Rattus norvegicus: one gene and its partner. The protein of the gene in region 2 interacts with the protein of the main gene of each other region in a biochemical or structural test. Links are inferred from orthologs where the notes say so. Each region holds a gene or a part of one and is shown on either strand. Other genes may lie near its edges.

Evidence for each region. The genes of interacting proteins can lie anywhere in the genome.
Region 1: the proteins of Anapc2 (region 2) and Pttg1 form a complex in vitro, tested with the Homo sapiens proteins (2 studies listed by BioGRID, with this or other methods). The link is inferred for Rattus norvegicus from reciprocal best matches to the Homo sapiens genes ANAPC2 and PTTG1.

The regions. Positions count from the first base shown.
Region 1 is NC_086028.1:28,401,714-28,409,618, forward strand, and holds the start of Pttg1 (securin), read right to left. Parts: upstream 4,614-7,905; 5' UTR 4,601-4,613; exon of another isoform or gene 4,216-4,600; intron 4,164-4,215; exon of another isoform or gene 4,097-4,163; 5' UTR 4,074-4,096; coding exon 3,986-4,073; intron 3,160-3,985; coding exon 2,981-3,159; intron 1,101-2,980; coding exon 1,007-1,100; intron 1-1,006. UniProt on the Homo sapiens protein: Regulatory protein, which plays a central role in chromosome stability, in the p53/TP53 pathway, and DNA repair. Probably acts by blocking the action of key proteins.
Region 2 is NC_086021.1:28,489,879-28,497,087, reverse strand, and holds the end of Anapc2 (anaphase-promoting complex subunit 2), read right to left. Parts: intron 6,556-7,209; coding exon 6,414-6,555; intron 5,669-6,413; coding exon 5,593-5,668; intron 5,513-5,592; coding exon 5,309-5,512; intron 1,813-5,308; coding exon 1,683-1,812; intron 1,528-1,682; coding exon of another isoform or gene 1,428-1,527; coding exon 1,192-1,427; intron 1,114-1,191; coding exon 901-1,113; 3' UTR 750-900; downstream 1-749. UniProt on the Homo sapiens protein: Together with the RING-H2 protein ANAPC11, constitutes the catalytic component of the anaphase promoting complex/cyclosome (APC/C), a cell cycle-regulated E3 ubiquitin ligase that controls progression through mitosis and the G1 phase of the cell cycle.

The DNA of each region.
Region 1 (7,905 bases), on a different chromosome or scaffold from region 2:
AAACTATTCTTCGCCACTATTCGTCATTTAGAATATTGTTAAGATCCAACTTAACAATAGCCAGTTAGATAATAAAGTTACCACCCTAATTTAACTATTACTTTTGCCAGACTCAGGAAAAAGTATAATTTTAACGGCCCAGCTCTTGAACATTCTTTAATAGGTTCTGGGATGCAAGTATTATGGTGGTGTGGGAGAGTGACTGTAGGCAGATCGCCGTGAGTTCAAAACCATGCTGAACTGCAGAGCAGGTCCCCATTCCCTGTCAAAGATTCTGTTACAAAACTACGGTGAGCATGCTGATGCCACAGAAAAAGGGATTTACAGTGCTCTGAGCTGCAAGCCAAGCCAGGGTTGTTCTCCTGGGAGACAGTTTTCATCTGAAAGGCAAACTACAGTCAAGAGAATGTATTCCTTCCATACTCTCTCCTCAAGGAATGAGGGAAGTCTACCGCACTTCAAGGAAAATGTTGTCACCAATGAGGAATTCAGAAACGGGAAAAAGTTTAGAATCGTGGAACACTCACCTGTAATAGTTAGCATGACATTAATTTGAATTTTTATCTTACATTATTTATACTTGGCCTTTTCTTTTTTGGTTTGTTTGTTTAAGACAGGGTCTCTCTACATAGCCCTGGTTAGCCTTGAACTCGAGAGCTCTGCCTGCCTCTGCCTGGGACTAAAGGTGTGCACCCCCAAGCCCACTACACTTTTTCCCCCCACAGGGTCCCTTCTACATAGCCCTGGCTGTCCTGGAACTTGCTCTGTAGATCAGATTGGCCTTGAACTCACACAATGATCACCTTGAACTTGATGTTTCCTTGGTATCTTTGCTCCCATTCTGAAGGTGATACAAGTGAGTCCACCTGAACAGTCTATGTTTTCAAAGTAACCCAGGTTCAGACAGTCTGGGATTCTAGAGCTGCACATTATAGTCGCATGGAGAAATCAGTCTGAGAGAAATCTCCAGCAGAGGGCCTGCCCATCATACCAAAGGCATTGTTACCTAGAGGATCGAAGGGGAAGAACTTTTCTATTTCTGGGTAGGCATCATCAGGAGCAGGAGCAGAGCCTTGTGTCTTAGTAGACTTCTCGGTGATCTAGAAAAACCAAAGAGAATAAGCACTGTGAGAACGGAAGTCTTGCCCACCTGCATGGTAGCATGAGATTGGGCAGCCTCTTCAAATGCTGACGTCACTATTTAGAATTTGTCAATTCAGTGCTGTCTTCTAAGAAGTCACAGTACTTAGTTTTCAGGATTCAGTGTAAATGTAAGGAGAGAACTGACTCCTGGAAGTTGTCCTCAGACTCTGACACACATGCCATCACATGTGCCAGCCCTGCCCTACGCGCACGCGCGCGCACACGCACACGCACGCGCACACGCACGCGCACACACACGCGCACACACACACACACACACACACACACACACACACACACACACTGGAAAGATGGCTCTGTGGTTCAAAGCACTTGCTGTTCTTACAGAAGACCAAGGTTCAATTCCCAGCACCCACAGGGTGGCTCACAACTATCTTTAACTCCAGTCTAAAGGAAACAATGTCTCATGTCCTCCTCAGGGATGGTACACGTACATACTGTGATGCTTTGTATATGCTTGGCTCAGGGAAGGATGCTATTAGGAGGTGTGGCCTCATCATTGGAATACGTGTGTTACAATGGACGTGGGCTTTTAATACCCTTGTCCTAGCTGCCTGGAAGCCAGTCTTCTCCTAGCCACCTTCGACAAAGATGTAGAACTCTCAGCTCCTCCTGCACCATACCTATCTGTACACTTACTACCATGCTTCCTGCATTGATAATGAACTGAAGCTCTGAACCTGTAAGCCAGCCCCAATTAAATGTTGTTACATTTACTGTTCACAGCAGTAAAACCCTAACCAATACAATAGCATACAGACAAATATCCAAACGCATAAATTAAAAGTACTCCTATTGGGGCTGGGGATTTAGCTCAGTGGTAGAGCGCTTACCTAGGAAGCGCAAGGCCCTGGGTTCGGTCCCCAGCTCCGGAAAAAAAAGAACCAAAAAAAAAAAAAAAAAAAAAAAAAAAAAAAGTACTCCTATTAAAGTCACGACATCTTAGCACCTGTCAACAGATATCACTAAGAATAATGAGCAGGGTTAATTCAAAGTTAATCAACTCAACTGTTCAAACCTAACAGTGAGCAAAACAGGCTTGAGGCACCCCCAGAATAGTCGCTAATCCTGGAAGTCACTTTTACCTTATAAAAGTGTGATTTTTCTGCCACTGTTACCTTAATTACTTTGTTAATATCAACAAGTTCGTGTTCCTTAAGCAGATGGAATTAAGAAGCAGCAGAAACATCCGATCTTATCCACTCTATGTGTATACCAAAGTAGGGAGGAGGGTGTGTAGTTCAGGCTAGCCTCCAACCAGCCTCTCCTCCAGCTTCAGCCTCCCAAGTGCTGGGATTGCAGGTGCCTATCACACCCAGTTAAATACTTCACACGTTTGCTTCAGGCCTCCCAGCCAACTGCTTCCTGGCACTAGCTAAGAACAGCTGAAGCAGAAGAATCAGCATTAGCTACTGTCCCCGAGAGCTGCAATCTCAGGGTGCTGAGAAGTAGCACAGCCTGACGCTTCTGCATTTCTGGACCTCTATTTACCTCGGACTCAGAGGAAGAAAGGCAGGGGGAAGTCCGCTTTTAAGCACTCGAGTGCTACAGCGGGGCTTAGGGATGGCTCGGTGGTTAGCACTTGCCACTCTGCTCTTCCGAAGGAGCCAGACTCAGTTCCCAGCACCCACGTAAGGCAGCTCACACCTGCTGCAACTCCTTTTCCTAAGAACCCAGCGCCCTCTTCCGGCCTCCTTGGGTGCCTTGCACACATGTAGTCTGCTTGTACGCAGATACATATACATGAATAAAAACAATAAACTTTTTTTTTTATAAAGCGCCAACACATGTGCAAGTATTCGCAGCCCTCGCTCACCTTTTTCACACTCAGAGTCGGCTGTTTCGATTGCAGGGGTTTACTACTCTTCACTGGCTTTTCAGTAACTCTGTTGACAGTTCCCAGAGCCTTCCTGCTGGCTTTAGGCAAGCCTGGGGCACCGAACACTTTGCCGACTCGTGGCGTTGAAACCTGCAATTTCCCATCTAAGGCTTTGACTGTTGAAAAAAAAAGGACAATCATAAAAGTATAACATACTCAGTGGGTAGAGGGCTTTCGGCCATACCGGACAACCTGAATTCAACCCCCAAAACCCACATAGCATAAGGAGAATGGACTCCCACAGGTTGCCCTCTGATCTCCACAGACACACCATGGCATGTGTGCACTCCCCCCCCCCCATACACAAATAAAGGTAATAAATACATTGTTCTTCAAGGTCAGGCCATGTAAACACCTCATCAACTTAATTCTCACCCACAAACCTGTGCTTCATTTTGGGCAGTGACTTAGAACCCTTCAATAAACTCATTAAGGCAATAAGCATGAAGCCAGGCACCGTAGCAACACACATTTAATCCCATCACTTTGGAGGCCGGGATAAGTGGATCTCTGAGTTCAAGGCCAGCCTGATCTGTATAGCAAATTCCAGGTCAATTAAAGCTATGTAGGGGAGCCCCATCTCAAAAAATGATTTAAGCATAGTGCCTGGGGATGTGACCATTAGGGAGAGTGATTGCCTAACATTTGAGAAGCTCCAAGTTCCATCCCCTACAGCGCATAAGCTGGGCACAGTGGCCCCTGCCTCTAATCAGTGCCCTGGGCTGGGGGGGAGTCAAAAGGATCAGAAGTCCAAGACCATCCTAGGGTTACATAGGGAACTAGAGACCAAGTCTGAGCTACATGACACTGTATTCTAAAAAGAAAGATAATAAGCGTGAAAATATATCAAACCTGACTCCGGTCAACCACAAAAGTACACTAAATACTAGGGGCCATAATCCATTCACGACACCTGTGTATCTCAAGGCAGCTGATACTTACCACCAGAGCCCAGCTTCAATCCATCCTTAGATGCCAAACGGCTGCCTGGCTCTTCGTTATCCTTATCAACAAAGATCAGAGTAGCCATCCTGGATTACTGAGGGGAGAGACCTGCATATTATAAAACTGGCATTGAGGAAGACTGGAAGAACTAAGCAGCAACAGAGACCAGAGCACCTATGCACAAAAATTTAGAAGTAGCTGGAGAAGTCAACAGGCTTAATCCAGACCTTAAATCTTCACGCCAGGGTCATAAACGCTAAACTACAGAAATCGTTTGTTGATGTTGGCACCCAAACAACTGTCTCCAGCCTACCAGCTCAGCGATAGGAAGGAGAAGCCAAGAGGATCAGATGCTCAAGGTTGGCCTCAGCTACATAACAATTCAAGACCAGTCTGGGTTGCTTGAGACCCTGAAGTGTGTGGGAAGGGAAGAAAGAAAATGAAAACAGCGTCGCTTTGGGTCAAGCACGCCAAGAGCGCCCCGGGACGCCGGGCCCAGTGAAGCACAAGTCCCGACCCTGCTCCAGCCTCCAGTCCCGGGTCTTCCTGCCCCGCCACCCCGAGTTCGCCCAAGACATCTTTGGCAACGACACACTCGCAGCTAAAACTCACCCAAGACTACGCCACCAACGACCCGGCGCACCGCAGTTTGAATTCCAACTCGCGCTTCAATTGGTCCATCCGATGGGAGGCGGGGCCTAGTGTCTGAGAACCAATGAGAGCAACGGAAGTTTTCAACCACCGCCCCCTCCCGGAAAAAAAAAAAAGAGTAGTAGTAGAGACCAACATAAACACAAACACTTAATTAAAGAAGCCCAGAGGCTTAATCCAGACCTTAAATCTTCAAGTCAAAGTCAGAGGCACCAATCTACTGAGATGGTTTGGGTCGGCCCCCATCAAAACCTGAGACTGGAAAGAGCACTTGCTCTCGAAGAGGACCCTGACTGTCCTGGAAATCACTATGCAGACCAGACTGACCTAGAACTTAACACATCTACCTGCCTTTGCCTCTTAAGTAGTAGTTAATTTCTTATTTTTAGAAACTGGGAAACTCGACAGGTTTGGAAACAAAGAATGGACATTTGAGAAGCCAGGCCTTCCCGTTGAAATCGGCATTGTTAATAACCCTTTCTGCTATGTGTGTGATTACGTTTAATTAGCTTAAAAGTTCCTTAGTCTCCTGAAAACATTCTAAAGTTCCACGATTGACAGTGGGATACTTGAGCTAGGATTTTCGCCCATCCCCCTCCTGCTGGGCAGAATCTTTCTAAAATGGTCGTGACAGTTTGTGAAGTCCTCAGCTCTATGGAGCCACAAGAGATGCTGATGTGTAAGTGGTGAGCGGTAGATCAAGAAAGCTTTCTATTAGGAATAAGATAGCAAAATTTCACAGCCCTAGTCAAATCCTGCATCTCCTTCTCTGTGACTCTTCCTCAGTCTAGACACAAACGGACGCCGTTGTTTATTCAATACCAACAGATCCCGTTTAGCTTCGGGATCTTCCCATAATCCTATCCAAAGAGGTCCTTCAAAATGAAGAAGCTGGGCGTGGTGACACACACCTTTAATCTCAGCACTTGGGAGACTGAGGCAAAAGAAGGTCTGTGAGTTTGTTGAGGTCAGCCCGGTTTCCATATTGAGTTCATGAAGCTATACAAGACCACATAGGGAATATCTGCAAAAGAAAAGAAAGGAAATATTCAAAGAGAAGTGGTGGATATAAATCTTGGTTTTGTGAAGTGATGAAGGCAAACATTTTGGTACTGATAAAATTTAAGGAACTTACACTTATTTTGAAAAGTTTCATATATATATGTGTGTGTGTATATATATATATATATATATATATATATATATATATATATAGAGAGAGAGAGAGAGAGAGAGAGAGAGAGAGAGATAGCTTACCTAGAAGAGTGTAAATCCAGTGATGTGGTAGACAGGAGGACCAGGTCATTCTGTGCCACATAGCAACTTCAAGGCCAGCCTGAGAGAGCAAAGATAGGAGAGGGGAGGGGACATGATCTTTAACTCTAAGAAAGGAATTATGATCTGACTTATGTCAAAACACACTTTTTTCCAGAGATACTTTTTGGGCATGATGTTCTTAAGTAGTCTTTTGAGGGCTGAGTATGTAGCTGGGTAGCCGTGTCTGCCTAACATAAGAAAGGCCCTAACCAGGGTGCGGGGAAGTGGGGAGAGATATTTAGAAACTCAAAGCAAGAAAGTGGCAAAACTATTTTCCTAACGTCCACTAAAATACTGTTCACCCAGAGAATAAAGGAATCAAATCTAAATTTAAAAGGAGAAAAAACAACTGAGGAATGGTTTTGTAGCCGTCAGTCTACAACCAAGAGAAAGCAAGCTTGTGATTGTCTAATCAAATTTCAACTGAAAAAGGGGTTGAGGGGAACACTTATAAAGTGAGATAGGAAAACAGTCACTAGCAGTAGAATAGGATCCAAAAAAAGTAATCTGGGTAAATGCGAGGACAGTTTGATGTGTGCGAGTAATTCCTTTACCATTGTGGTTGAGAGCTATTCCCTACACAGGGCTACCCTCGGCACACCAGACTGGGATCTGTCTTACTCTACTTCCTCAAATCTGTTTGTGAGCAAAGTGATGTTCCTAATAAATATGTAACTCTAGGAGTTGAATAGAAACAACACATTCAGGCATGATGGACGCATGGATGTATGAACACGTGGACACACACACACACACACACATACACACACACCACTTATACCTTTACTGTCCCATCTATTTCCTGTTCCTTTTATCCCTTCAACCTGTTATTTTCTCTCTGCATCTATTTCTGAATTGCAGTTTCTTCATATTAAATCACCAGCACATAGAAGTCTCGCTTTCAAAAATAAATCTGTATACACTCCCACAGCTTCCATATGAACATTGTCTAATTCCTTGAGAGGTTTTCTTCCCCTCTCACCAACAGGAAACATTGCTTTTCCCCAGGTCCACTGCAAGTGTAAATTCTATCACCACCCTGTCTTTAAAAGTCCATGGTTTTCTTAGTGATGGTATCCCTAGGCCAACTTTGTGATTCCCCGCTTGTTACTGGGGAATAATGTATCTGGTTGGTAAACCCATGTATAATATGGAGTCCTCAGCTAATACAAGTCTCTCCTAATCTAGCTTTACAAAAAAGCATTCATCCAAAGATGCTCTCTTCTTGAGAACTCAAGCCTTGGAAAAATTCCTCCTTTCTTGCCCTCTGAACAAGTCAGCTGACTTCTGCTCTTCCTTTACCTGCCTTGAAAAAACTCAAAGTCTTACATTCCTAACTCCAGGCCCTTCAAGTTCTTAAAAAAAACAAAAAACAATTAACTACTTTGGGCTCTTTGAGGTGGGAATGTTGATTATAGTCCTGTTTATTTGAAGAGCAGTTCATGTAGGGGAAGTATAAATAACCACAAGACAGCATGAGGAAAAATTTCCAAGCAATGGCTCGGTAGTCAAAACAGCTCGTTCTTGCAGGGGTTGGGTACTCGTGCTGGTTCACAGTCTTATATCTGTATTTCAAGTCACAGACGATCTGATGCCGATGATGTGCAAACTTACACACATAAAACAAAACATGAATCCTTTTTAAAAGGAAAAAACCCCAACCAAATCAACTATTTTCCAGTAGTTTGTTTGTTTAATATTTTCCCTTTTATGTTTTGTCTTTTAACTTTTTGTTTGTTTGAGAAAGGGTCTTACTATGTCACTGGCCGGGAATTCAAAGATACGCCTATCTTGGGGCTGGGGATTTAGCTCAGTGGTAGAGCGCTTACCTAGGAAGCGTAAGGCCCTGGGTTCAGTCCCCAGCTCCGAAAAAAAGAACCAAAAAAAAAAAAAAAAAAAAAAAAAAAGATCTATCTCTGCTAGGATTAAAGCTGTGTGTGCCATTGCGG
Region 2 (7,209 bases):
CCTGACTGAAAACAGCTGTTCTGGAACAGGGACACAGAAGCCCACACTGTTCTACCAGATTCTGTTGTCTAAGGTTGAGGGCAGGGTCAATGTGTCCTCAACAGGTGTCTGGACAGCCTTGCCTGTAAGAGTGGTTGAGCCTTAACCTGGGGGAAAGGATTATTATACCCCGGGAATCAGTCTCGCCCCTGCCCTCATCCTATACTTCTGACGGGAGCTCCAGGGGACATGAGAGAATCTGAGTTCATACTTATAAGCTCCAAGCAGGATGGCCGGTAGAGAAAAGAGGACAGAGGTCTGATAATCCCCTGGTCACTAGCATCTGGCCTTAGGCAGCCCTTGACATAGGAGTGTACTTGACTCAGGTTGCCTCGCCTGAGGATCTGATCAAGTATAAATGTTCTAATAGCACAAAGCCTTACATTGACTCCACATAGTGAAGGCCCAAGAATTCCTTTTAAAGGCCACAAAAGCAGGATGGGGCCAAAGTTGACTCAGGAGACTCTGAGCTGCCAACCCCACTCACACTTGCTGAAATAGGCCCCAGCATATGTCTAGGGCAGGCTACAGAACATAGCTTTAGGGGAATCTATTGCCCAAACACACAAGCTCAGGCTGAGGTAAGCCTGGCTTCTTGGGTGGTTCTATTACCTGCTGCTGGGAATCCAGGCCCTGTAGGGTTATAGTAGGGTGGCTATAGAGGACAAACCTGTTTGTATTCATGGGGCCTAACAAAATACACGAAAGGATGAGCTAATATGCTTTAATTTGTTCTTTAGGTGTTAGGCAGGGAACAGGTAGGGGCTGGGCACAGGAACATGGGGACAGAAGGTACCCTAGCTGTCCATCCAGGGGTTGCACAGGCATGAATGCTGCAGGTCAGAGCCTGGAAGGGGAACATCAGTTGCAGTTCTTAGGCAGGCGGTAGACACCTGCAGAGTAGATGAGCTGCTGGTCTCGGACCTTCTTCTGCAAGTAGCCCTGTAGTTCCTGCAGGTCAATCTCAGCCAGTGCAGGGCCAGTCATTACAAACATTCGGAGCATGCTGTAGATGCGCTCCAGAGAGAGGCTCTCTAGGTTGGTCAACATGGCCTGGATGTATGTCCAAAAGAGCTAGGAACAGAAGCCAGACCTGGTTAGTTGGCCACTTACCTGGCCCACCCCAGCCCAATGTGGAAATGGCCAACATACCAGTAGCTCCTCTTCCTTCTGGTCAGCCTGGGAGGCCATGCCCGAGTCACTTTCATCATCACTGTCAATCAGCACCATGTTGTCCCTATCCTGAGGCCGCTCTTCCTCAATGACAGAGAAAGTGCCGGGAGGCTCCTCCCGCAGCACACCCTGCTGCAGCCACACTGACATGCGTCTTCGTAGGAGTGCCACGGGCATCTTCACCACCTTGCTCAGCTCCTCCAAGGTCCAGCTGGCTGTGTGCAGAGTCACAGAATGCAGGGTACCCTGGAGATATGCCTGCTCCAATAGCTGTTAGCCAGTTGGACCCCCAGATGCATGTGCATTGTCCTGTAACTGTTACTCACAGGTAAAAAGAATGGTTGCTACCTCTAAATTCTGGAGGGGGTGGGGGTCAGTATGTCACCTTACAGCTTATCAGACAGCAGTGTCTAGCACTAGCCCCAAGGTAGTGTGCTCAAGGCAGACCAGATGGGGTTCTAGGGACTCACCTTGGTCCTGGAAATACAGCAAAACCACTGCCTGCACTGGGGTGACCGCAACAGACAGGGTGCGGTCAGCCAGCTCCACGTCCATCGTCACCAGGCCCAGGGTATGCTTCCAACTGAGTGTCCGCATAGCCTGGGCAGGAATCATCAAGAACAGTCCAGTGGGTTCCAGGCAGGTCCAGATGAACAAGGCATAGGTTCTATACCAGGCTACCCAGCAAGGAATGGCTCTTGCACCAATGACCTGTACCAGGGCCATCCCTGGCAGGCATGTAGTCAGCAGCCAGACCAGGAGACCTGGTTCCAGTCTCCAGTTCTGGAACAACCATGATATAACAATGAACACTGATGATAAGTTGTGTCCCTCTCATGTCTCAGTACCTCGGACCATGAGCTATTTATTTGCAAAGAGAGTTAGTGTAGATGTAATTAAAAAGAGGTCACAGTGAAGTAGGGTAGGTCTTAAAGCACAGCAGAGAGCGGTTATGAAAGGCATACACATGCTGATGTACCAAAAGCTGGGCAAGTTTCCTAGAGGCATCAAGAGGAGCACGGGCCTGCCCACCCTGACACTGGACTTCTACTTCCCACAACTAAAACAATACTTTTCTCATGTTTAATACCACTCGGCCTGTGACATTTTGTTAAAGAAGTCATAATAAATGAAGATTCTGCTGTATGGATGATGCATGCCTTTAATCCCAGCACTTGTGAGGCAGAGGTAGGAGGATCTCTGTTAAGTTTGAGGCCAGCCTGGTCTACAAAGTTAGTTCCAGGACAGCCATGGCTATACAGAGAAGCCCTGTCTCAAAAAAAAAAAAAAATGTTCTAGAGAGGGAGGGAAACTGCTATAATTGTTTGTACATTGGGGAAACACATGAAAGTTAAAGCCTAGATCTGTTACAGCCAATGGGCTGTAACGATATGGCAGGTGAGATGATGCTGGTGAAGGTTCAGAAGAGAGAGTTACTGCACAGACTGTGGAGAATAATGTTGGTAGAGATGAGGACATTAAGAGGACCTTCTGGTGAGAGCGCAGATCGAAGTGAGGAACAAACTAGACGCTGGGGGAAGCTGGCAGAAAACCACCAGGCTGTGGCCAGACGTTCGCTGAGATGAGTGTGACTTGTGACTTGTAGATCCACTAGAACACACAGCATGGCCAGGAAGATACCGCTTCCCTTTCTTTTTTTTTTTTTTTTTTGAGCGGGGGACCGAACCCAGGACCTTGCGGTTGCTAGGCAAGCGCTCTACCACTGAGCTAAATCCCCAACCCACCGCTTCCCTTTCTTTTCCTGTTTTTAAAGACAGGACCTTACTCTGTAGCCCTAGTTGCCTTGAAACTTGCTATGTACAGCAAGCTAGCTTCAAACTAGGATGCTGCTGCTGTGCTCACCTTCCAAGGCTGGGAGGACAGGCGTCACCAGCTCAGGACCACGCCGTTACTTGATAAATTGGATACTGCACATTTCATGGAAAGCACCAAGGTTTTGAATGTTATGCCAGCAGCAGTGCTGACCGTGAATGAAGTGACAGCAGCACGGGAGAGTACACACGGGGCTGCAAGGCAAGCCAGGTGCCAAAGCCTGAGCCAGACTGTGAACTCTGCCTGCTGGGTTTCAGATTTGCTTTCGGCTCATGATCCTTCTAGGTTCCTTTGGGAATGCCCATTTCTGACCTAGGCTTGTTTGAACAATGGACTCTGATCAAAACAATGTCACAGCGTCAAGCTGGACACGAAACCTGCTGTCCTACTACTTTAGTCTCCTGAGTGCTAGGATCATAGACATGTGCTGCCCCCCTGGACTAGAAGAGACTTTAAGAACTGATGCTGAAGTGGTTAGCATCAGTTGGGATGCTACTTGGGAGATACTGGTATTGGCTAATTTGCTCCTGGGAAGAGTAGTAATTTTAGAAACTACAGACTGCCATGGGTCAAACTGTATCTCTTCAAAGAGACAGTAGTAAAGCTCAGGACACTGACTGTCCAGTGACACTGTAAGTCCTATCTCCAAATGTGGCCTTATTTGGAAACAGAGTCATTAAATAAGTAATCTGCTAAAATAAGGTTGTCCTGCAGTAGAATTGGTCCTTAATCTGATTATAAATGGTATCCTAAGAAGAGAGGAACAGACAGAGAAAACCTGGACATAAAGACATGTATTTACCACCTGGGCAAGGGTGGTGCACACCTTTAATCCCAGCACTCGGGAGGCAGAGGCAGGCGGATCTCTGAGTTGGCGGCCAGCCTGGTCTACAGAGTAAGTTCCAGGACAGCCAGGATTATACAAAGAAACCCTATCTCGAAAAACAAAATCAAAACAAACAAACAAAAAGTCCATTTACTTAGGTCTGCTAGGGCTCCTGCGAGAGGCAGGAAAAATGGTTTCCCTAGAGCATCCTGGGGCATCACAACTCAGCAATACAGCTCTAATCTGGCAAACCTGTGTCTGCAGTATGTCATAAGGACACCCAGGACACTGGTACCTCTGACCTAGTGGCAAAACTGATGGCCTGAGACCCTCTGGGACCCCTGTAGCTCTTAACGGAGAAGTATACCAATAAACTCACTCTACAGATAGAGAAACAGGCAGTATCAATGGCTTCCCCTGGTTTCATCCAGTTTAGCTATCCTAACACTGGTTCTAAAGCCATGACCTGAAAAAGGGTCACAATACATCACAATATATGGGCTGCATAGTCAGTCACCCACAAACCCAGCCAGATCCTTTAGGAACTTGGCTGGTGAAAGATAACTTTATTGTGGCCACAGGCTTGCCCTCTTAGCACAGCCCTAGGGTTTACCAGAGCCATTCTAGTACCACCAAAAATTGAGTCACACTAGTGTATGGCCATCCTAACTCTTTGGATCTGATCAACAAGACGCATCTAAGTCATGTCTAGGACCCAGGGCAAAAACTTAGCAAAGCCAACGAGGACCTCATACCAAAATAGGTCAGAGGAACAGTAGGAGAGGACACTGAGTACACAGGACTGGCCAGGAAGTGGTAGGGCTGTGGTACTCAACCAAAACAGGACATACTGGTGACCAGTAACCACACTTTCACCTGGTGTCAGTAAAGGCCAAAGACCATATTTAGACTCTTTCAGAAACTCAGCCAGGTAGCAAGGTTCTCACGGCTACTGACACAGACACTCCCCTTCTTTAATTTCTCCAGTCAGGGCCTCTGACTGGATTTTGTTGCCCCTCAAGTACTCAAAGGGATCATCCAGGGGCACAGATCCTTAGCATGAAGCCACGTAAGGTCTTCTGATCCCAGGAAGAAGCACGAGCCTCAGCACTATGCTCATCAGGAACAAGATGCTGCAGATGCCCCCATGGCACGCCTGCCTGAGGCGTCAGTGTCCAGCCTGACCCGACAAGGCTGGCCCCACATTTATGTATGACCCAGAGTAGGACGCTTGCCCCACCTGCGTTAGACTCTTGCCTCCCATGTCATAACTGACACCAGCTCAGGAAGGATCCTTGAATTTGGCCATACCACTCCCTGAACTCTAACCTCTACACCATTAGGGCTCAGCTGTGCTACCTGGACATGGGCTAATTCTATGTGGGGTCTGATGGTCTGATCAGAGACACAAACTACCCAGAGGCCTACTGGCTGTACCTTCAGTTTCTCATACTTCTTGCAGTAAACATCCAGGGCTGCCCTGATGTCCTCAGGGACCTCCAGCTTCTCATCTTTGAAGGGAGGCCAAAATTCACTGGACAATATGACGGCATAGACCCCAAATGGTGGCTGTTCTTCCACAGGCCGCTTCTCATCCTCCTCACGGATATTGGCATTGATGCGGCGGGAATCTGCCATGTCCTAAGAAAGGATACCTCATCAACGGCCTGGGCTTAATGGTGATGGTAGGCACAACTCTCGGGGCAGTCCTGGGTATTTACCTTGAGCATGACCTCACAGAAGTGCATGGGGGCTTCTCCAAAGCGCAGCTTCAACAGCTCCACATTACGAATCTCCCTGCAAGGACAAGTTTCTGTGAGGGGCTGCAATGTGACTCCATTTCAACTGATACCCTAAGCAGACAGCTGGACCAGACAACCCACCTGCTCAGGAAACACTGGGCTGAAGGGAAAGCAGGAAGCAAAAGACTAGGGCCAAAGTTTGGTCATTCTGGCTGTTGAGGTTTGGTCTTTGTTATGTATTGTAATGATAATTACTGCCCCCACCCACCCACCCAAAGTCTGGTTGTCTCAGGGATGAGGAGATCCTCATGTACACCAAGTGATGATATGTGTAGCCTTGCTCCTTAATTTAAAACTATTAAAAGATGCTACAGTCTATAGCTGGGCAGAAGAGAGGTAGACAAGGTTGCGGTTCCTTGGCTTGGGGTATGAGGCAGGACAGCGAGGAAGAAAGAGAAAAGCAGTTGGAGAGAAGATACCATGGCTGTGAGAGCTGGCCAATAGTTGAGTGTCCCAGATGAAACACAACAAGTTTAACTCAGAATTATTAATAAGAAAGTAGACATAATAGCTTACAGAGTTGATATCTGCCCAGCTCTAGTGTTTTAGATAGATAAAATCTCTTTTATCTGGGAACAGAAGAACTGAATGATATAAGACTGGGTAGAAAGCCCCAATAGAGATTAATTATTCCTACAACTCTTGGCCAATAGGGGCAGTCAATATTAGTCATGTGCTTTCCTCCAAGTGAAGGCTTAGGCCTCAGCACCCCCTGGAGGTCAACCAGTTCCTTGCCTTACCTCTCCGGACTGAAGCTGAACTGGTGGAGGAGGCGATCGGCCAGGAGGGAGCGGTACTCATTGATAAACAGGTCTTTGCTGCCATAGATGCTGACCAGCAGGCTGATGATGTCTGAAGAGCGTCGCTTGGAACTTGACTTTGCTGCACAGTACAGAGGAGCTAATGTGTACCACTGCACTTTGACAAGGAAAGTGACACCTCAGAGTTCACCTGCTGGATACAGCAGTCTTGCACGGCCCGGGGCGGGGGGGGGGGGGGGGCTTGCTCTAAATGCCCCAGGCAGCTGGGGTTAATGTCTCCCAGCAGAGCTGGGGTTGGTTCCTAAGGCAACTGTTCTGATAAACAGTGCCTCCTGTTTCACAAGGATCCTCAGTCAGCCATAAGGAAGAGAACAAAGGTTTTCCTCTAAAAGGTTGAAGATGCTGTGTTCATGCTAAGACCTCAGCAGGACAAAGAATCCACAGCCCATGATAACCCAGCAGAGTATGGTCAAGCAAAAGATGGGACCTGGGCAGAGAATCCCACCTTAATACATGAGAATCAGGATCAAATCACAGCAGAGTGGGGTATGCAGACTTCCTATGAACCTGGTCTCTCAGGTATAACCCACAAAGGCACCTTCTATAGCTAGCTAAGGTAGCCAGTGAGGTACATATAACAAACCAGCTAGTGTTACGCATGGCCCTGACCTCTCACACACGCACCCCAAGTTTGAGGCAATGGCTGCCTCTGATATAATCAGGGTTGGGTAGCAACATCCATAACCAGAACCCAAGAGACCACTGAAGAAACCCA